Anolis sagrei: one gene and its partners. The protein of the gene in region 1 interacts with the protein of each later gene in a pairwise test. Links are inferred from orthologs where the notes say so. Each region holds a gene or a part of one and is shown in the gene's direction. Other genes may lie near its edges. The genes, in order: DUSP12, EIF5 and PPP2R3B.

The links.
Region 2: the proteins of DUSP12 (region 1) and EIF5 interact in binary tests that used the Homo sapiens proteins (3 or more experiments, as listed by UniProt). The two-hybrid records come from large-scale screens. The link is inferred for Anolis sagrei from reciprocal best matches to the Homo sapiens genes DUSP12 and EIF5.
Region 3: the proteins of DUSP12 (region 1) and PPP2R3B interact in binary tests that used the Homo sapiens proteins (3 or more experiments, as listed by UniProt). The two-hybrid records come from large-scale screens. The link is inferred for Anolis sagrei from reciprocal best matches to the Homo sapiens genes DUSP12 and PPP2R3B.

What each region holds. Positions count from the first base shown.
Region 1 is NC_090022.1:199,090,735-199,097,901, forward strand, and holds the start of DUSP12 (dual specificity protein phosphatase 12), read left to right. Parts: upstream 1-4,138; 5' UTR 4,139-4,165; coding exon 4,166-4,641; intron 4,642-7,167. Other genes in the region: GDAP2 (ganglioside-induced differentiation-associated protein 2), read left to right, coding at 1-81, 1,966-2,010. UniProt on the Homo sapiens protein: Dual specificity phosphatase; can dephosphorylate both phosphotyrosine and phosphoserine or phosphothreonine residues. Can dephosphorylate glucokinase (in vitro).
Region 2 is NC_090021.1:327,805,760-327,812,837, reverse strand, and holds the start of EIF5 (eukaryotic translation initiation factor 5), read left to right. Parts: upstream 1-4,037; 5' UTR 4,038-4,141; intron 4,142-4,230; 5' UTR 4,231-4,496; intron 4,497-7,078.
Region 3 is NC_090023.1:99,404,255-99,411,636, forward strand, and holds the start of PPP2R3B (serine/threonine-protein phosphatase 2A regulatory subunit B'' subunit beta), read left to right. Parts: upstream 1-4,311; 5' UTR 4,312-4,509; intron 4,510-7,382. UniProt on the Homo sapiens protein: The B regulatory subunit might modulate substrate selectivity and catalytic activity, and might also direct the localization of the catalytic enzyme to a particular subcellular compartment.

The sequences.
Region 1 (7,167 bases):
GAAAACCTGCAACAGTTGTTCACAGCCATTCCCCCTGAACAGATTGACTTTCCTCCATTTGTTCTTGAATATGATACCAGGGTAGGTAGTTTCAAGATATAAATGTCTGTTCTTTCTAGACTTTATCTCATTCGTTTCATAAATCAGGTATAAAAGTGGCTTTCTTCCTCTTTGCTTGGAAAGATTATAGAATTATTATAGCATGTGCCTTGACTGGAAAGTTGCTTTAAACTGATTCTGTTTGTGTTGGTGTGAAAGTACTTCTTACCAAAATAGGTTTTTTTTTCATATTTTCTTATTAAACTACATTATCTAAGCCAGTGATTTACTACAGACACTTTTTAAATATCTTTTGATGTAGCAGACTGGCAAAACTTAACTCAAGATTTAAAACCTCAAAGCCTATCAAATATTTATTTAAGGTTGCTCATCAAGGGGCTTCATATTTGAAGTAAGGGAGAAATAATAATAATAATTATTATTATTATTATTATTGGGAAGTGTCCAACATGTGACCCAATACAATAGCCAGCAGAGTGATCTTGTCCGCTGTGGATTATCTTGTTGTGTTTCAAATAATAATAATCATCATCATCATTATTTATACCCCGCCACCATCTCCCCGAAGGGGACTTGGGGTAGCTAACGTGAGGTCAAGCCCAAAGATACAATACAGCAAAATAAAGTGCAAAATACAACACCAAACATTACATCACAATAAAGTACATACAGTGGCAAAATAAAATAAACAAAGCAAAATAGCATAATAGAAAATTGAACACAATGGGCAGGCCAAATGGACAAGATAAAATGATAAAATGGCTGTTTTAGACATTTATGCAAATCTGTTGTTCAGGGTTTACAGTAGACTCTGCAGAAGATGCTTCAGTTGTACTTCATAAAAAGGAAAATTAGTCTGTTTAAAAAGCCTTGCAAATGCTGATTTGTTATCAGTAAATATATGGGTTTTATACCCATATAAATTTTATCAGGTCAAGAAGGGTCCTGAGTGGAAATTTTTAACGAGCACTGCTCTAGAGGACATGGCATTCTCACCATGTTTTGGGACCTTCCTGAACCCCTCAAGGGCATTGTGGGTCATTATTAGCAAAATAATCTTTTTCGGGGCCGCTGGAGGTGCAGTGGCTTAAACCAGTGAGCTGTTGAACTTGCTAACTGAAAGGTTGGCAGTTTGAATCTGGGAAGCGGGGTGAGCTCCCGCTGTTAGCCCCAGCTTCTGCCAACCTAGCTGTTTGAAAACATCAAATGTGAGTAGATCAATTGGTACCACTTCAACAGGAAGGTAACTGTGCTCTATGCAGTCGTGCCGGCCACATGACCTTGGAGGCATCTACGGACAATGGCAGCTCTTCAGCTTAGAAATGGAGATGAGCAGCATCCCCCAGAGTCAGACTCAACTAGACTTAATGTCAGGGGAAACCTTTACCGTTACTGATCTTTTTTGAGAAGTTTTTCAAAAATATGTTTGGAGCCCTGGTGGCTTTAGGGGGCACAAAAACAGCTCTGGGAAGCACATACAGCTCACAGCCATGCTTTGCCTACCCATCAGATATCACTGTGTAACACAATTTTTGTTTCTGGGTTATAATTTTCATTTCCTAATTCGTTCTATCATAAAAACATGGTAAAAGTTTATTAAAATGCAAAAAAAAAAGTTTTTGTGGGACATCTTGCAGCACACTTTGCTATAGTTTTATTTAACAAATATCTCATAGACTCTCAACCAATTCAACATAGTTTGTGGCAGCCACAAAAACAAAATACAACAACTACTTTCAAAGTAAGTACCACACAATTAAACAGGAAAGAACATTTTCAGACCAAGAACAGAATTTATTTCAGATTTTGTTACCTAATGAATGGCTGTGGTGGAAAAGATTTTCATTTAGGGATTATTTGTTTTTATGTGTACACTGCATCAATTCATCTTTTGTATCTTTACAGGAAAATGGATCATACTACTCTTACCCCTCTTCTCCGGACCTCTGACTATGCAGCCCTGCCATTCCATTTGGTTTCCGAACTCTCTATGACATGCTACATGCCAATCCCATATGCACCATGGTGGTCTAATTCATTTTCAGAGATCAGAAGGCGGGTAATCCTGCCTCTGTTATTTTTTTACAAGGAGGAATTTGGAAGAATATAAGCAATCAGTAAACTAAATCCAAATGAACTGTTTCAGATGTATCACGTAGAAAAGTTGCTAGGTGTATATGACAACAATTTTTGTATTGCACAAACTGCTTTCTCGAAAGACCCATTGGACATACTTTAATCTGACTGTGAGCGTTCTCTGCTCCCAGCCACTTCAGACCAGTTTGGAAGAAGATTCGGTTTCCATGCAACAGTGCTATATCAGATTTACATGTTGAATCCTTTATTATTGCTGCTACATTCAGAGGAATTCACTGTTAAAATATATACAGATTGGACAAAGAACTGTTTAAAATTCTAAAACAACTATAAATGTCAGCTTTGTAAATTCTCCTTAGCTTTGAATGTGGCGCTCTGCCTTTTTTTGCTGGATGATGAAAGATGCAAGAGTGCTGCTGCTTTCCTGCTAAATTGTAAAACTGAAGCAAATATCACTAATGTCTCTTGTGGTTTTTATTTCCTTTGACCTTGTTGTGATTTCTAGCTGGTATAGGGAAAACAATTAATGAAATACTGGTATTAAAATGAATTTGTTTGTATGTTCTAAAATAGGGATGGACAAAGTGCAGGCCACACACAGCCGTCGGGTTCCTCAAAAAGTGTCCCATAATCTTCAGCCCATTTTTCATTGGACTTCTTTTTACCCAACCCCAGTCAAACTCTTCCAAAACTACCAAAAATGCAGTGATCTGCTTCTCCTTATCCTCCAAATCACCAAAAACATCAAAAAAGAAAGAAAGAAAGAAAGAAAAAGAAAAGTAACCAACATAGCAGCTGAAAGTTATGTTGTATAACATCAGGTATACCAAGATATGATGCCATGGCCCACTGTGCCAGGAGAGGCAGATAAAACTATTATTATTATTATTAATTATTAATTATTATTATTATTATTTATTATTATTATTATTATTATTTGATATACAACAAGATTAGTATACAGCAAACAAGATCACTGCTGGCTGTTGTATTGGATCACACGTCAGGCACTTCCCAAGTTTCTAGAACTGTGTGATGTATCGGTGAATAATGCATGCAGATCCAAGTAGGGGAGTCTTTTCCAGCTGACAGATGGTAATTTTGTCAGAGCCGATTGTTTTCAAGTGCAGGCCAAGGTCTTTAGGCACTGCACCCAGTGTGCCGATGACCACTGGGACCACCTTGACTGGCTTGTGCCAGAGTCTTTGCAGCTCAATCTTTTAAATCCTCGTATCATGTCAGCTTTTCCAGTTGCTTCTCATCAATCCTGCTCTCACCTGGGATTGCAACATCAACGATCCATACTTTGTTTGTATTATTAATAATAATTTGGTGCAGTGGGTTGAACCCTTGTGCTGGCAGAACTGAAGATCGACAGGTCGCAGGTTCGTATTCTGGGAGAATGTGGATGAGCTCCCTCTGTCAGCTCCAGCTCCCAATGCAGGGACATGAGAGAAGCCTCCCACAAGAATGGTAAAACATCAAAACATTGGGCATTCCCTGGGCAACGTCCTTGAAGACAGCCAATTCTCTCACACCAGAAGTGACTTGCAGTTTCTCAAGTCGCTCCTGACACACAAAGAAATTGGAAAACAAATGGTTGCAGCCCTTTGTGCAGTTGCCCACTTTTATTCTTCAATTAGTCTACAATTTTACTTGCAGGGCATTAGAATTTTTACATTGTTTCAGGAACTATATAATTGCATATTCTTTCAAAGTGGAGTTGGATTACATAGTCCTTGCAGCCCCTTCCTATTTTTAAGGTTCTTGCAAAGACATTTGACATTATGGACCGTAATGGTTTGTGGACCATCTTCCTGAAAAATGGGTGCCCTGATAAATTTGTGAATATCCTGTGGCTCCTCCACGACATGATGGCAATAGTCTTGGACAGCAGCGGCTATCAAAGTGACACATTTTAGGGTCAGAATAATTCAATTCCTCTGCGTTTGAGGTGTACCATAGAAAAGAACAGGAAAGGGTTAAGGGAGAGGCAGTGGGCGGGATCATGCAAATTACACAGCGTGGTGGAGGAAAGACAGACAATCTAGGATCCCTTGGTCTTGCTAAACTCTCCTGGAGGGTGCAACTTCTGCTTTGTGAAGATACACCGGAAGTGACGACTTCGGTCAGGGCCTTCCCACTTTCTCAAGCAAACCCGGAAGTGAAGGCTTCAGGCATGGCTTTCCCACATTCTCAGGCGAGGGAGAAGGAGGCGGCAGAGGCCATGACGACGGTGGAGGTCCTTCCGGGGCTGTACGTGGGCCCTGCAGGGAAAAGCGGGAAAGCGGCGGAGAGGCCTGCGGGCGTCACGGCCCTCTTGTCTGTGGACTCGGAGCCCCCCGGGGAAGTGGGGCTGGAGGACGTGCTGCACCTGGAGGCCCTCGACCAGCCCGGCAGCGACCTGCTGAGCCGCTTGGACCAGGCCGCCGCCTTCATCGACAGGGTCCGGGGGAAGGAGAAGGGCGCCCTCCTGGTGCAGTGGTGAGGAGGGGGGGAAGCAGGTCCTGGGACAGGCGTGGGCAAACCTCGGCCCTCCAGGTGCTTTGGACTAATTCCTCCGAGGTTTGCCCACGCCTGTCCTACAATCACAGAGTTGGAAGGGAACCCCAGGGCCAACCTCTTACCATGCAGGAACACCCACACACGCACAGATGGCCATCCAGCCTCTCTGTTGTCGAAGGCTTTCATAGCCGGACCACTGGGTTGCTGTGAGGTTTCCGGGCTGTATGGCCATGTTCCAGAAGCAGTCTCTCCTGACGTTACGCCCACATCTATGGCACGCATCCTCAGAAGATGTGAGGTCTGTTGCAGATTACCTGATGAACCAACCTGGACACAGCATATCATTTGAGAACACAGAAATGTTGGACCACTCTAACAACCACTATGTCAGGCTACACAGAGAAGCCATTGAAATCCGCATCTGTGGCAGGCATCCTCAAAGGTTGTGATCTTTGTTGGAAACTAGGCAAGTGGGGTTTATATACCTGTGGAATAATGTCCAGGGTGGGACAAAGAACTCAGACCTCACAAGCTCTGAGGATGCTTGCCATAGATGCAGGCGAAACGTCACGAGAGAATGTCTCTAGAACATTCTCTTAAACAGAGGGTCAGGTCACAGTCTCTCAAACTGTTGGAGGGCCAGATTATAATTTGAAAAATAAAGAATGAAATCCTATGCACACTGCACATATCTTATTTGTACTGCAAAAAAACATTTTAAAGCAATACAATAAATAAAATGAAAAACAATTTTAACATATAAACCTATTATTATTTCAGTCAGAAGTGTGGGCATGCTCTTGGCTGATGAGATAGGGTTGTTGTTGTGTGCTTTCAAGTCATTTCAGATTTAGGTTGCCCCTAAGCGAAGGCCGAGCAAATGACCTTGGAGGGCCATATCTGGCCCCCGGGTCTTAGTTTGAGGACCCCTGCTCTAGAACATGGCCATATAGCCCAAAAAAACCTATAACAACCAACTCTTACCTGTTTGAGGCAAGTGTGAATGCTGCAATTGATCACCTTGATTAACATTGAATAACCTTGCAGCTTCAAAGCCTGGTTGCTTCCTGCAAGGGGGAATCTTTTATTGGGAGGTTTTGGCTGGCCCTGATTGATTCTTGTCTGGAATTCCCCTGATTTCTGAGTGTTGCTCTTTATTTACTGTTCTGATTTTAGAGGTTTTTTTAAATACTGGTTGCCAGATTTTGTTTATTTTCATGGTTTCCTCCTTTCTGTTGAAATTGTCCACATGCTTGTGGATTTGAATGGCTTCTCTGTGTAGTCTGACATGGTGGTTGTGAGAGTGGTCCAGCATTTCTGTGTTCTCAAATAATATGCTGTGTCCAGGTTGGTTCATCAGGTGCTCTGCTTTGGGTGACTTCTCTGGTTGAAGTAGTCTGTAGTGCCTTTCATATCCCTTGATTTGTGTTTGGGCAATGCTGCATTTGGTGGTCCCTATGTAGACTTTTCCACAGCTGCATGGTATACGATAGACTCCTGCAGAGGTGAGAGGATCCTTCTTGTCCTTTGCTGAACGTAGCATTTGTTGGACTTTCTTAGTGGGTCTTTAGATAGTTACAAACTATCAACGGAGTCTATCATAAATCAAGAAGAATTGGATTCTGAAATGGGGTAGTCAAATAAATAGGAAAATATATAGAACTGAACCATTCTCTTTCTACGATTGTTCAATTAAAATAATATTTGAATGCAGGAAAGTACTGTTCCCAGAAGGTGGGGGGAGGGGTGTAAAATTGGTAGACACAAGTAGGAGATAAAGGTAGAATCGGCAAAGTTAAGAACACTAAGAAAATAAGATTTGATATGTATTTTGAAATGGTGATGGATTGTGATGTTATTCTACCTGTGTCTGCATTAAAAACATATTGGGGGGGAAAAGTCTACCGTATGGACAAGTCTACATAGGGACCACCAAATGAAACACCCAAACACAAATCAAGGAACATGAAAGACTGAATTCAACCAGAGAAGTCAGCTATAGCAGAGCACCTGATGAACCAACCTGGACACAGCAAATTATTTGAGAAGACAGAAATGCTGGACCACTCTAACATTCACCATGTCAGACTACACAAAGAAGCCATTGACTTCTCAGGTTGAGCCATTGACTTCTCTGCAGTGCCTTTCATGTTCTTTGATTTGTGTTTGGGCAATGCTGCATTTGGTGGTCCCTATGTAGACTTGTCCACAGGTGGACTCCCGCAGAGGTGAGAGGATCCCTCTTGTCTTTTGCTGAATGTAGCTTTTGTTGGATTTTCTTAGTGGGTCTGTAGTGGTTCAGACTTGCTTTTCTTTTGTAAACATTGAATTCTGCATTTCAGTTGGGACTTAGGTATTCAAACAGGAGCTCCCGGTAGCACGGTGGGTTAAACCACTGAGCTGCTGAACTTGCTCATCAGAAGGTTGCAGATTCAAATCTGAGGAACGGCATGAGCTTCCGCTGTTAGCCCCAGCTTCTGCCAGCCAAACAGTTCAAAAACAGGA
Region 2 (7,078 bases), on another chromosome or scaffold:
AAGTTTGCAGGTACCACCAAATTGGGAGGGATAGCTAATAGTCCAGAAAACAGGCTCAGAATTCTTAACAGGTCTTACAATGACTTTAACAGATAACCAAAGCTAACAAAATTAATTTCAACAAGGGCAAATGTAAGATACTACACTTAGGCAGAAAAAAAATGAACCGCAAAGATACAGAAAGGGTGCTGTCTGGCTTGACAACAGTCCATGTGAAAAAGATCTTGGAGTCTTTGTGGACAAGAAGTTGAATATTAGGCAACAGTATGATGTAGTAATTTAAAAAGCCAATGGGATTTTGGGCTACATCAAAAGGAGTGTAGTGTCTAGGTTGAGGGAAGTCATTAAACAGAGGTTGGATGGCCATCTGTCGGAGATGCTTTGAATGCAACTTTCCTGCTTCTTGGCAGGGGGTTGGACTGGATGGCCCATGAGGTCTCTTCCAACTCTATGATTCTATGGTGCCCCTGTATTCTGCTTTGGTTAGACCTCACATGGAATACTATGTCCCGGACTGGGCACAACAGGTCAAAAGAGATATTGAAAAGCTCGAATGTGTCCATAGAAGGGCGACTAAAACGATCAAGGGTCTGGAGATCATGCCCTATGGGAAGCGTCTTATAGAACTGGGTATGTTTAGCCTGCAGAAGAGAAGACTGAGAGGAGACAAGATAATCATGGTTAAATATGTGAAAAGGTGCCATAAGGAAGATGGAGCAGGCTTGTTTTCTGCTGCCCTGGAGACTAGAACTCAATGGAGCAATGGGTTCAAAATACAGGAAAGGAGATTCCACCTGAACATTAGGAAGAACTTCCTAACTATAAGCGCCGTTCAACAGTGGAACTCTCTGCCCTAGATTGTGGAAGCTCCTTCCTTTGGAGGCTTTTAAACAGAGGCTGGATGGCCATCTGTCAGGGGTGCTTTGATTGTGCTTTTCCGGAATGGCAGGTGGTTGGACTAGATGGCCCATGTGAAAAAAAATTATCAATATTATATTATATACAATATAATATATTATTAGCATAGCACAAAATTAGTATTATAAATTACTAATGGTTTTCTATATTATCTATTTTTAATTTTTTCGTGTCAGGAGCGACTTGAGAAACTGCAAGTTGCTTCTGGTGTGAGAGGATTGGCCGTCTGCAAGGATGTTGCCCAGGGGACACTCGGATGTTTTGATGTTTAGCATCCTTGTGGGAGGCTTCTCTCATATCCCCGCACACTTCAGCTGGGAGTTGAGGTTTCACAAAGACTTTTCTGTCACATAGTCCTGGTGCCTCACTAAACTATGCTGTTGTTGTTTATTCATTGTCGCTTCCGACTCTTCGTGACCTCATGGACTAGCTCACACCAGAGCTCCCTGTCGGCTGTCACCACTCCCGGCTCCTTCAAGGTCAAGCCAGTCACATCAAGGATACCATCCATCCATCTTGCCCTTGGTCGGCCCCTCTTCCTTTTTCCTTCCATGTTTCCCAGCATAATTTATTTATTTATTATTTATTTACGGCATTTATATGCCGCCCTTCTCACGCCGAAGGAGACTCAGAGCGGCTTACAAGTAAAAAGTAAATATATTATATTATTACCACAGCACAATATTAATATTATATATTACATTGTACTATAACATTATACTGTAATATTATCAGTAATATTACATTAATATAATATATATAGTATCATATTATTAGTAGTATTATTATATTTTATTACATTATAATATTATCAATATTATATGTATATACAATATATTATATTATATTACATTATATCATAAGCACAGTGCAGGAGACAAGATGGATATGTATATACAATATACTATATTTTATTTATTTATTTATTTATTGTGTCAGGGCAACCAGTCGATTATATTACATTTCTAACATAACAAAGCTAACAAACAGACAAAATACAAAATTTTCAAGCTTGGTAGCTGATTAAATGTCCTTTGACCAGTAGCTGGCCACTTGGGGTGCTTCTGGTGTTGCTGCAAGAAGGTCCTCCATTGTGCATGTGGCAGGGCTCAGGTTGCATTGCAGCAGGTGGTCAGTGGTTTGCTCCTCTCCACACTCGCATGTCAAGGATTCCACTTTGTAGCCCCATTTCTGAAGGTTGGCTCTGCATCTTGTGGTGCCAGAGCGCAGTCTGTTCAGCACCTTCCAAGTCGCCCAGTTTTCTGTGTGCCCAAGGGGAGTCTCTCACTTGGGATCAGCCACTGGTTGAGGTTCTGGGTTTGAGCCTGCCACTTTTGGACTCTCGCTTGCTGAGGTGTTCCAGCGAGTGTCTCTGTAGATCTTAGAAAACTATTTCTAGATTTAAGTCGTTGACGTGCTGGCTGATACCCAAACAAGGGATGAGCTGGAGATGTCTCTGCCTTGGTCCTTTCACTATTGGCTGCTACTTCCCGGCAGATGTCAGGTGGTGCAATACCAGCTAACCAGTGTAATTTCTCCAGTGGTGTAGGGCGCAGACACCCTGTGATAATGCGGCATGTCTCATTAAGAGCCACATCCACTGTTTTAGTGTGGTGAGATGTGTTCCTCTGGGCATGCGTACTCAGCAGCAAAATAGCACAGCGCAAGGGCAGATGTCTTCACTTTATCTGGTTGTGATCCCCAGGTTGTGCCAGTCAGCTTTCGTATGATATTGTTTCTAGCACCCACTTTTTGCTTGATGTTCAGGCAGTGCTTCTTGTAGGTCAGAGCACGGTCCAGAGTGACTCCCAGGTATTTGGGTGCGCTGCAATGCTCCAGTGGGATTCCTTCCCAGGTAATCCTCAGAGCTCGGGATGCTTGTCTGTTCTTGAGATGAAAGGCACATGTCTGTGTTTTAGATGGGTTGGGAATCAGCTGGTTTTCCCTGTAATAGGCAGTGAGAACACCTAGAGCTTCACATGTGAGGATTCCACTTCAGAAAGCTTCTGTTCTACCATCTCAAAGCTCCCTGCTTGAGCAGTAATGGGTAAATGCAACGTGCTGACAATCTTAGGTCTCTAGTAAAGTGCTTCTGGGACGTGTTGCTGGAGTTTCCTATTCTGGAAAGGCACACCAGATAGCCAAGTCTTCAAGTTCTTCCTATATTATATTGTATTACATTATAATATATTATCTATATTATATGTATACACAATATATTATATTATATTACATTATATCATAAGCACAGTGCTGGAGACAAGATGGATATGTATATACAATATACTCTATTATATTATTAGTAAAGACAAGATGGACATGTCTTCTGCTCCCCTCTGTCTTCTCTAAGCTATATGAGAACAAGCCCTATGAGAAGCGGCTTAAGGAGCTGGGCATGTTTAGCCTGAAGAAGAGAAGGCTGAGAGGGGATATGATAGCCATGTATAAATATGTGAGAGGAAGCCACTGGGAGGAGGGAGCAAGCATGTTTTCTGCTTCCTTGCAGACTAAGACGCGGAACAATGGCTTCAAACTACAAGAGGAGATTCCATCTGAACATGAGGAAGAACTTCCTGACTGTGAGAGCCGTTCAGCAGTGGAACTCTCTGCCCCGGAGAGTGGTGGAGGCTCCTTCTTTGGAAGCTTTTAAGCAGAGGCTGGATGGCCATCTGTCAGGGGTGATTTGCATGCAATATTCCTGCTTCTTGGCAGAATGGGGTTGGACTGGATGGCCCATGAGGTCTCTTCCAACTCTTTGATTCTATGATTCTGCTCCCCTCAGTCTTCTCTAAGCTATATGACAAACTATATGTCCCAGGAATTCATATCATTGCTTTAATTCCATCCTGAGGCTTCTGGCTATTGGGAATTGTGGGAGTTGGAAGTCCAAAACACCTAGGCCTGGTCGAGCGCTTTTCCTTCTAACCAGCCAGGCACTGACTCAATCTCCCTTCTCCCTTGCACAATGGAGCCCAGCTCTCGCGAGACTTGAGTCCCGCCTTGTCAACGCGATGTCCTTTTTTCGATGGGTGGGGGAGAGAGAGAGAAAAGAAGCAAAGGGAGGCGACGAGGAGCTTGATTGGCGGGTGGCGGGAGCCAATGGAACGCGCCCACGCCGAGCGCGGAACCAATCGCGGGCCGGCGTGGGCGTGGCCTCGGCGGCGGCTGATTAATCCCAGCCTTGGCGACGGGGCTGTTCAGTCGGCGCGAGAACATTCTAGAGGTAAGTGCTCGGCGGCCATTGCTGCTGCCCCTCCTCGGGCCGCCGCCTGGAAGGAAGCTTTGGCGCTGACTGTGTTTCCTCATCCACAGAGTCCCCGGCCCGCCCGCCGCTCCCGCTGAAACCCCGCTGAAGCCTCGGTGAGGACGACGCTCGGGCGCCCCGCTTCCCCTCCTCCTCGGGCGGCTGCGGCGTCCGCCTCCTCCTCCTCCGTGCTCCCCCTCCCTCCCTCGCTCGGCCGCGACCAGCCGCCCCGTGAGACCCCGACACCCTCGTCGATTTTCTCCTCGCACCGATTCGGCTTCGTCGCAGCCCGGGGCGAGCAGCGTTGGGTTTATGTCTGTATTGGACGAAAACGGTGAGTAGGCCTCTGAGGGAAATGAAGGGAGGAAGGGCGGTTGAACATCCGGGGACTCTGGTGTGTGTGGAAGGTTCTCTTCTTTGTCCTGAAGGGGGCGCTGTTTCGTAGGCGAAGCGCATTCCAAGAAGCTGTAGAATGGGCATGGGCACCTTGGGCCCTCCAAGTGTTTTGGACTTCAACTCCCACCATTCCTAACAGCCTCAGACCCCTTCCTTTTCCCCCTCAGCCGCTTAAGCGGCTGAGGGGGAAAAGGAAGGGGCCTGAGGCTGTTAGGAATGGTGGGAGTTGAAGTCCAAAACATCTGGAGGGCCCAAGTTTGCCCACGCCTAGTGTAGAATAATAATAATAAATGTGCATTTGTCACCTGCCTCTCCTAAAGGCTCAAGGTGGGCAAATTTGGGCCTTCCAGGTGTTTTGGACTTAACACACACCATTCCTAACAGTCTCGGGTCCTTCCTAAGCAGTTGAAGAGGAAAAGGAAAGGGCTTGAGGCTGTTAGGAATGGTGGGAGATAAAGTCCAAAATACTTGGAGGGCCCAAGTTTGCCCATACCTGCTGTAGAATAGTTATTATTATATAATAATAATAATAATAATAATAATAATAATAATACATTTGCATTTGTTACCCGTCTCTCCTAAAGGCTCAAAGCAGGGTACAACAAAACATAGGAACATGAAATGCAGCCATCCAGCATAGGAACACATCAGTCCAACATAAGGACATGAACTACATCCATCCAGCATAGGGAGGCGTAATATATCCATCCTACATAGTGCTTCAAAATGTTTGGTATTTGAGCATCCCGCGCTTTTGAAAATCTACTCCTTGGATCCTAATACATCAGTCCAACATAAGGACATGATGTAGGGAGGCGAAATATATCCATCCAACATAGTGCTTCAAAATGTTCGGTGTTTGAGCATCCCTCGCTTTTGAAAATCCACTCCTCGGATCCTCAGAACTGATTTTCAAAACCCAAGCGATGCTTAAACACCAAACGTTTTGAAGCATGAAATGCAGCCATCCAACATGGGAACACAAAATGCATCCATTCAACATAAGTACATGAAAATACATCCAGCTATCATAGGAACATGAGATAAATACATCCAACATAGGAACATGAGGTACATACATCCAACATAGGAATATGAAATGCATCCATACAACATAGGGACACGAATTGCATCCATACAACATAGGGACACACAATGCATCCATACAACATAGGGACATGAAATATATCTATCCAACATAGGAACACAAAATACATCCATACAACATAGGCACACGAAATGCATACATACAACATAGGAACACAAAATACATCAATACAACATAGGAACACAAAATACATCAATACAACATAGGAACATGAAATACATCCATACAACATAGGAACACGAAATACATCTATACAACATAGGGAGACGAAATTCATCCATCCATAGGCACACAAAATGCATACATCTAACATAGGGACACGAAATACATCCATCCAACATAGGGACACGAAATGCATCCATCCAACATAGGAACAATAATAATGAAACTATATGTATCCTGCTCCTCCCCCAAAAGAGCCGGGGGGGAGGGGTGGCTTGCAACAAAAATACATTATACATAGTAATAATCAGCGACCAAAGCAACATAAATCAGTAAATTGTAGTAGAAATACAAAAGCAACCACAAACACTAATTACAACATCAAAACATCACAGTAAGTATAAAATTATGTGCCGAAATAAAACATACACAAGAGGCAAAAACTAGCTCCTATTAATAACCAATTAAAATACGTCCATCCAGCATATGAAAATAAATACATTTACTTATTTGTTTATTACAGAGATTTCTTTCTCCAGCACAAAGCCAATGCGACTCACATCATATTTAAAACATACATAGAAATTGTAATAAATGTATTTTATATTCTGCCACCATTTCCCAGAAGGGACTTGGGATGGCTTATTTAATTACTTTAAATAATTAAAAACCATCATTACACAAGTATTAGGGGTTCATTAATCCTTAAAAACTTTCCGTATTATTGAACATTAAATTCAATCTAAGATTCCCCGTTCTTCTGTATCTATAAGTGCCTGGCTTCGGTTAAAAGCTGCTTCAAAGGAAAGTCTTTACATCTTTCCTAAATGTCATGAGGGTGGGAGCGAGTTCCACGGCTTAGGAACCGCACCCAAGAATGTACCTTCTCTAGTGATCTTTAAGTGCATGTTGGCCAGGGACTGAGTCAGAATCAGGGTCTCCTTACTAGACCGTATAGGAGGACACAGTGTCCCAAGTAACCTGGACCAAACTTGTGTAGGGCTCTATAGGTCAAAACCAGCACCTTGAATTGAATAGAAATACATCCATCCACCATATGAAATAATATCCACAATATAAAATAATAATAAATAAACTTTATACCCCGCCTCCATCTCCCAATAAGAGACTTGGAGCAGCTAAAATACATCTATACAATCATAATCAAATGAAGGTTTTGGTGAGGGGGACACGAAAGACATGTTTGTGTGGAATCTGGGAAAGGTGGTTTGTAATCCCTGAAACTTTTA
Region 3 (7,382 bases), on another chromosome or scaffold:
TTATTAAAATCACTTGCTCTTGTTCCATTGCTTTATCTCTGTTGTTGCTGATGTCCTTCACCGCTTTTCTCTGAATATACAGAAGAATTTCTTGTTTTCCTTTACTTTACACACTGACTGTTAGATAATTTTCCCCCCATTGCCCTGGCAACCCGTTTCCTTCTTCCATCTCCTGTTGCATTTGCCTTGACATTTAAAGTCTGCTACATTGGAATGGACATTAGAAAGCAGACTGCTTTTAGAAGCTTCTTTGTAATACAGTTGTTTGCCTTCAAGTTAACCCAGTCACAGTTTTCTTAGCAAGATCTATGCAGAGGGGGCAACCTCAATGGCCTCCCATTGAGGTTGAGAGAATGTGACTTGCCCAAAGCCACCCAGTGTATTTCCACGGATATGTGGGGACTTGAAACCGGGATTCCTGATGAAAGCATAATGCCAAACTGACTTTGTAATATCTGCAAGTAATTACTACCTTAGGGTGCATCTACTCTGTAGTTCTAATGCACTTTGACACCGCTTTAACTACCATATGCTATGGAATTGTGAGAGTGGTAGTTTTACAAGTCTTTCGATTTCTCTGTCAAAGACTGCTGGTACCTCATCAAACTACAAATTCTAGGTTTTCATAACATTGAGCCATGACAGTTCAAAGTGATGTCAAACTGCATTCATTCTACAATGCAGATGTGCTCTTAGTTAAGGACTGTACTAAAAAGGGAGGCTTTCATAGTTTGGATGGAACCAGTACGTAGGTTAATTGTGAGTGAGACCTTTTTCCAGGTAGCACCGCAACAGGCACACTGATCTAAGCTGGAAGAAGAGGTTCCTGGTGATTGAAATTAGGCAACTGAACTGGTTTTTCAGGAAGAAGTACAATCCTGCCTAAAACCAAATATAAATCTCCATCCAGATTAGGGGTCTTCTTGATCCCAGTTTCTCCTTACTTGCCTCAAACTATTGCTTCGTTGCACACCTAAATTAAGGTCACCCATCAAAACTCAGGGATGACTAGATGAGAAACAAATGTACTATTTCAACCCCACTGACACCTAGCCTGAATGCAAATTGTCCTCTTCCAGAAGTTAGTAAAGGTGCAGAGCTCATACAATACTACAGACCAACATAGGCTGTCTTTTCCTCTTGTCAGAGACAGAAAATGTGTGGTCCTTACGATATTGGTATCAAACTCACAAGAAATGGTTGGGAAACTGCATTAAGGAATGACGGTGTGGAAGGAGGCAATAAAGGGTATGCCAAAGCACCCCTAAAAATGGTCACACAAAGCCGGTGTCTCAAAACTACAACATACATTTAGTCATTTTAGACAGAAAATACACAAGAAAATACACACTATTGGGAGAGAATCTGAAATGTAGGCAAAGAAAGTTGGGAGAAGAGCTCTCCAATAATAATGGTGGTGGTAGTGATGGTGATTGTCCACTAATGGGAAAAAATTAATACATTGATTAGAGGGGATTTGAAACACTAGCAAAGGAAATGGGAAGAAGTTCTCTATTATTATAAATCATCATCATCATCATCATGAATGTCTTACCCACTTCTCTTGTAGACCAATGCTGGGAACTGCAACATATTAAAATACAACAGACACCCATTGAAAACACATAAACCAGTGAAAACATTAGTTTAAAAGAGCATATAACATCAAAAGAGTACAGAATTTAAAATTTATGGGTGATTAAGAATTCTTAAATACAAAACACAAAACACATTTTATATTTCCAGGCTCTTATACAAAAACGAAGAAAGATTCACAATCAACAGATGCAGGGTTGGAATATGATCACGTTCACAGAAAAGAAGTCCAGCCTGAAGTCCTCTTCTTCCTCATTCCTGACCTAAGGGGCATCTACACTGTAGAATCTAATCGCTATGGCTCAATGCTATAGAATCCTGGGAGTCGCATTTTAGTGAGACGCCAGTACTCTTCGGCAAAGAAGGGGAAAGACCTTGTTAAACCACAACCCCTACCATCCCATAACATAAAGCCATGGCAAGGGCAAACATTTGTCCTTCAGGTGTTTTGGACTTCAACTCCCACAATTCCTAACAGCCTACCGGCTCTTGTCAAAGGCTTTCATGGCTGGAATCAATGGGCTGCTGTTAATTTTCGGGGCTGTATTGCCATGTTCCAGAAACATTATCTCCTGGTATTTCACCCACATCTATGGCAGGCATCCTCAGAGGTTGTGAGATCTGTCTTTTTTTTTTTTTTGTCTTGTCAGGAGTGACTTGAGAAACTGCAAGTCGCTTCTGGTGTGAGAGAACTGGTCATCTGCAAGGACATTGCCCAGGGGATGCCCGGATGATTTTGATGTTTTATCATCCTTGTGGGAGGCTTCTCTCATGTCCTCGCATGAGGAGCTGGAACTGACAGAGGGAGCTCATCTGCCTCTCCCCAGATTCGAACCTGTGACCTGTCAGTCTTCAGTCCTGCCGGCACAGGGGTTTAACCCACTGTGCCACCGGGGACTCCTGAGAGGTAGCCGGAAACTAGGCAAGTGGGGTTTATATATCTGTGGAATGTCCAGGATGGGAGAAGTACTCGTCTGTTGGAGGCAGATGAGAATATTGCAATTGGCCACCTTGATTAGCATTGAATAACCTTGCAGCTTCAAAGCCTGGCTACTTTCTGCTTGGGGGAATCCTTTGTTGGGAGGTAACTGGCCCTGATTGTTTCTTGTCTGGAATTCCTGTTTTTTAGTGTTGCGTTTTATTTACTGTCCTGATTTTAGAGTTTTTAATACTGGTAGCCAGATTTTGTTCATTTTCATGGTTTCCTCCTTTCTTTTGAAATTGTCCACATGCTTTGTGGATTTCAATGGCTTCTCTGTGTAGCCTGACATGGTGATTGTTGGAGTGGTCCAGCATTTCTGTGTTCTCAAATAATATGCTGTGTCCAGTTCCTGTTGTCTCACCTCTGTTCTTAACTATGAGTTATGTAATGTTTGTAACTCGGAGACTGCCTTTATATGAATGCTATTCATAATAAGTCATTTGGTCTCCAATATTCTAGCTAACAGATAATACCATTTAATGATATGATCTCCATTTAAGAGACTATATCATTCTTCAGGGGAGCCCCCGGTGGCGCAGTGGGTTAAAGCACTGAGCTGCTGTGCTTGTTGATCGAAAGGTCGCAGGTTCGATTCCGGGGAGTGGCGTGAGCTTCCGCTGTCAGCCCTAGCTTCTGCAACCTAGCAGTTCGAAAACATGCAAATGTGAGTAGATCAATAGGTACCGCTCCAGCGGGAAGGTAACGGCGCTCCATGCAGTCATGCCGGCCACATGACCTTGGAGGTGTCTACAGACAACGCTAGCTCTTCAGCTTAGAAATGGAGATGAGCACCACACCCCAGAGTCAGACATGACTGGACTTAATGTCAGGGGACTACCTTTACCTATCATTCTTCAGACTTTCTCTTTTGTCCACACATCCCCAGGGATTTTCCATGTTCAGAATGTAGATTATTCTTAGTTTCACAACCCTGTGTGTTTTTATGAGCTCCCTGCACATAACCTACTCCTATTTTTATCTCATTAGAGTCTTTTAATCATTTCATCCTGTACATGTGGCCCGCCCACTGTTATCGTGATTGTGTTTATTTTGTTACTATGTTTATACTTTTTCTTCTTCTATGTAATTTTGATTATGTTGCTTGTTGTTTATGTTTTGATTTTATTTTGCTGTAACATGTTGTCCTGGGCTTGGCCCCATGTAAGCCACTCTGAGTCCCCATTGGGGAAATGGTGGTGGGGTATAAATAAAGATGATGATGATGATGGGTTCATCAGGTGCCCTGCTATGGCTGACTTCTCTGACTGAATTGGTCTGCAGTACCTTTCATGTTCCTTGATTCGTGTGTGGGCAATGCTGCGTTTGGTGGTCCTTATGTAGACTTATACACAGTTGCATGGTATGCGGTAGACTCCTGCAGAGGTGAGAGGATCCCTCTTGCCTTTTGCTGAACCTACCGGCTGTTAGGAATTGTGAAAGTTGAAGTCCGAAACACCTGGAGGGCCGAGGTTTGCCCATGCTTGGTGTAGATGCATCAGAGATTCTACATCAGAGATTTTCGAACAGTTGGGCTTCTAGGTTTCGAGGACCCCAACTCCCAGAAGCCCTTGCAAGCTTGGCAAGTGCTGAGGGCCTCTGGGAATTGAAGTCCGAAAGACCCGGAGGACCAAGCGCGAGGACACGCCGCTCGGCACAATGCACGGCGCGCGCGCTTCCATCCAAACATTCTCCGCCCCCGTTCATTGTCCCCTTGCCCGTAGTGCGCAGGCGCCATCGGAGCGCGCATGCGCGGAAGGAACCAAAACAGAAAACTTTGGAACTCCACTCAGAAGAAACCAACGGCTCGCAGTCAGACTGGGAGGGAAGACGGGGCTTGGGTTCCCTCGCGTGTTTTGTTGTTGTCTAAATTGGGGCGGACAGGCCCTTTGCCCGCTGCCAGAGGGCTTGTGGGTTGCTGGCAGCTTCGAAAGGTGAGTTTATCCCTGTGCGAGAAATCAGGAGGCCACGATGGCATCAGTTGTGCGGAGGAAAGCTTCTGTGTGAGTCTGCTTCTGTATGCCTTCAAGTGGTTTTCGACCCAGTCACAGGGCTTTCCTGGCAATGGGTCTTGGCCATGGCTTTTCTCTGAGGCTGAGAGAGTGTAACTCACCTAAGGTCAGCCTCTGGGCTTCCACTGTAGAATTAGTGCGGTTCAACACTTTCATTGTAATTGCTCCATGCTATAGAGCAGGCATGGGCGAATTTGGGCCCTCCAGGTGTTTTGGACTGCAACTCCCACCATTCCTAACAGCCTCAGGCTCTTTTCTTTTCTCCCTCAGCCGCTTGGGAGTTGCAGTCCAAAACACCTGGAGGGCCCAAATTCGCCCATGCCTGCTATAGAGTCATGGGTGTTGTATTTTGAGATTCCTCTTCTTTCACAACGAAAGAAAGGCGAAAGGCCTTATAAAACTACAACTCCCAGGACCCTATAGCATTGAGTCATGGCATAGTATCAATATGCATTGAATTTGCAGTGTAGCAGCACCCCATGTCTCCTCAGTCATAGTCCAACGCGCAGACTATTTCACTCTATGTTTGGAAATGCAAGGAGTGCTAGTTGCTTGTTTCTTCAAACTGTTTTTCTTGGGGTTTCACAAATATACTCAAACTAAAAGTGTGCAAACACATACAAAGATTTAAAAAAAGAACACAGAGCAGGTGGAAACAAGAAGGAAACAGACTTCTTTCCTTCTGGTGATTATAAGACCAAACCTATACATTTTTACTACTCCAACTAAGAATTGACTCAGCACATAGAAGATGGCTTTGAATGGCAGCAGATCACAGGAGCTGTCTTCATAGACCTGTCAGCAGCCTATGATACTGTGAACCACTGCCTCCTTCTGAGAAAAATGTGTAATATCACAAAGGACTACCACCTCACCCGCCTCATAAGAAACCTGCTACAAAACAAGAGCTTTTTTGTTGAGTTCCAGGGCCAGAGAAGTAGATGGCGGAAACAGAAGAACGGCCTGCCTCAGGGGAGCGTGCTTGCTCCATCCATGTACAACATCTACACAAATGACCAGCTACTGCCAGAAGGGACAGAGAGTTTCATCTATGCTGATGATCATGCCATTACTGCTCAAGCAGGGAGCTTTGAGATGGTAGAACGGAAGCTCTCCGAAGCTCTAGGTGCTCTTACTGCCTATTACAGGGAAAAGCAGCTGATCCCTAACCCACCTAAAACACAGACATGTGCCTTTCATCTCAACAACAGAGAAGCATCCAGAGCTCTGAAGATCACCTGGGAAGGAATCCCACTGGAGCATTGCAGCGCACCCAAATACCTGGGAGTCACTCTGGACCGTGCTCTTACCTACAAGAAGCACTGCCTGAACATCAAGCAAAAAGTGGGTGCTAGAAACAATATCATACGAAAGCTGACTGGCACAACCTGGGGATCACAACCAGACACAGTGAAGACATCTGCCCTTGCGCTATGCTACTCTGCTGCTGAGTATGCATGCCCAGTGTGGAACACATCTCACCACGTTAAAACAGTGGATGTGGCTCTTAATAAGACATGCCGCAGTATCACGGGGTGTCTGCACCCTACACCACTGGAGAAATTACACTGCTTAGCCAGTATTGCACCACCTGACATCCGCCGGGAAGTAGCAGCCAATAGTGAAAGGACCAAGGCAGAGACATCTCCAGCTTATCCCCTGTTTGGGTATCAGCCAGTGCATCAACGACTCAGACCCAGAACCTCAACCAATGGCTGATACCAAATGAGAGACTCCCCCCTGGACACACAGAAGACTGGGTGACTTGGAAGGCGCTGAACAGACTGCGCTCTGGCACCACGAGATGCAGAGCCATTCGAATATATTTTGAGCATGAGTTGACCCAGTACACCATTGTGTGACAATATATAAAATAGCATAATCAAAAATAACAATTTTTGGAATGGGGGGTGGGTATTTTCAAGCAGTGAATACAGAATCTGTGGCTATGGAGGATCTATTCTATTTTCTTTAAGAAGGCAGCTAGTGTTCCCAATCTTTCAAAAATATCTTTGTTTTTCTCTAATCAAAATGGATAATTTGTCAATTTCTGCTACATTGTTCAGCCCTAACAGCCATTCTACCAATAAAACAGTCTTCCATCTTTCCACATATAAAAATCTTGCTGCAATAATATTGTAGTAATATTCCGTGCTGTGTTAGTTGTTTTTCTAAACAAAGCTGAATCCACATTATGAACTTTGGAAAGTGTCTGCGGTAAAAACCTGAATATCCTAAACTTAAGGCACAAAATCCTAGTTGATCTTAGAAGCTAAGCAGGGTCAGCCCAGGTTAGCACTTGGATGGCAAACCAAAAAAGAGTATCAGGTGATGTGAGTTGTATTTCAGAGGAAGAAACTGGCAAAACTACTCTTAAGAATTTATTTATTTATTTATTTATTTAAGGCATTTGTGGGGCCCCTTTCTCAGCCTTACAGCGACTCAATTTCTTGCCTTAAAAACCCTGTGAAATTCTTGTGGTTACCATAAATCCACTGGTCAGTGTTTTTATGGATGTATAGTATTCTTTGCGCAGTTCCTCCCTCCTGATACTGACTTATCAAACAAGAACTACAATCCTATTTGTTAGGCCTTAGAGTAGCCTCACTAATTGTTGAAAGATGAGTCAATACCCAGGATAAATCCAATTGGGACTATAATGGAATCTAGTGGAAACTAACCATTGGCTTCAGGACATCGTGTCAGGAAAGATCTAGGTCAGAGGTTCTCAACCTGGGGGTTGCTGCGCCATTTTCTGGGCTTTGCGAAGGTGCCCCAATTGGCCCTGCCCTTCT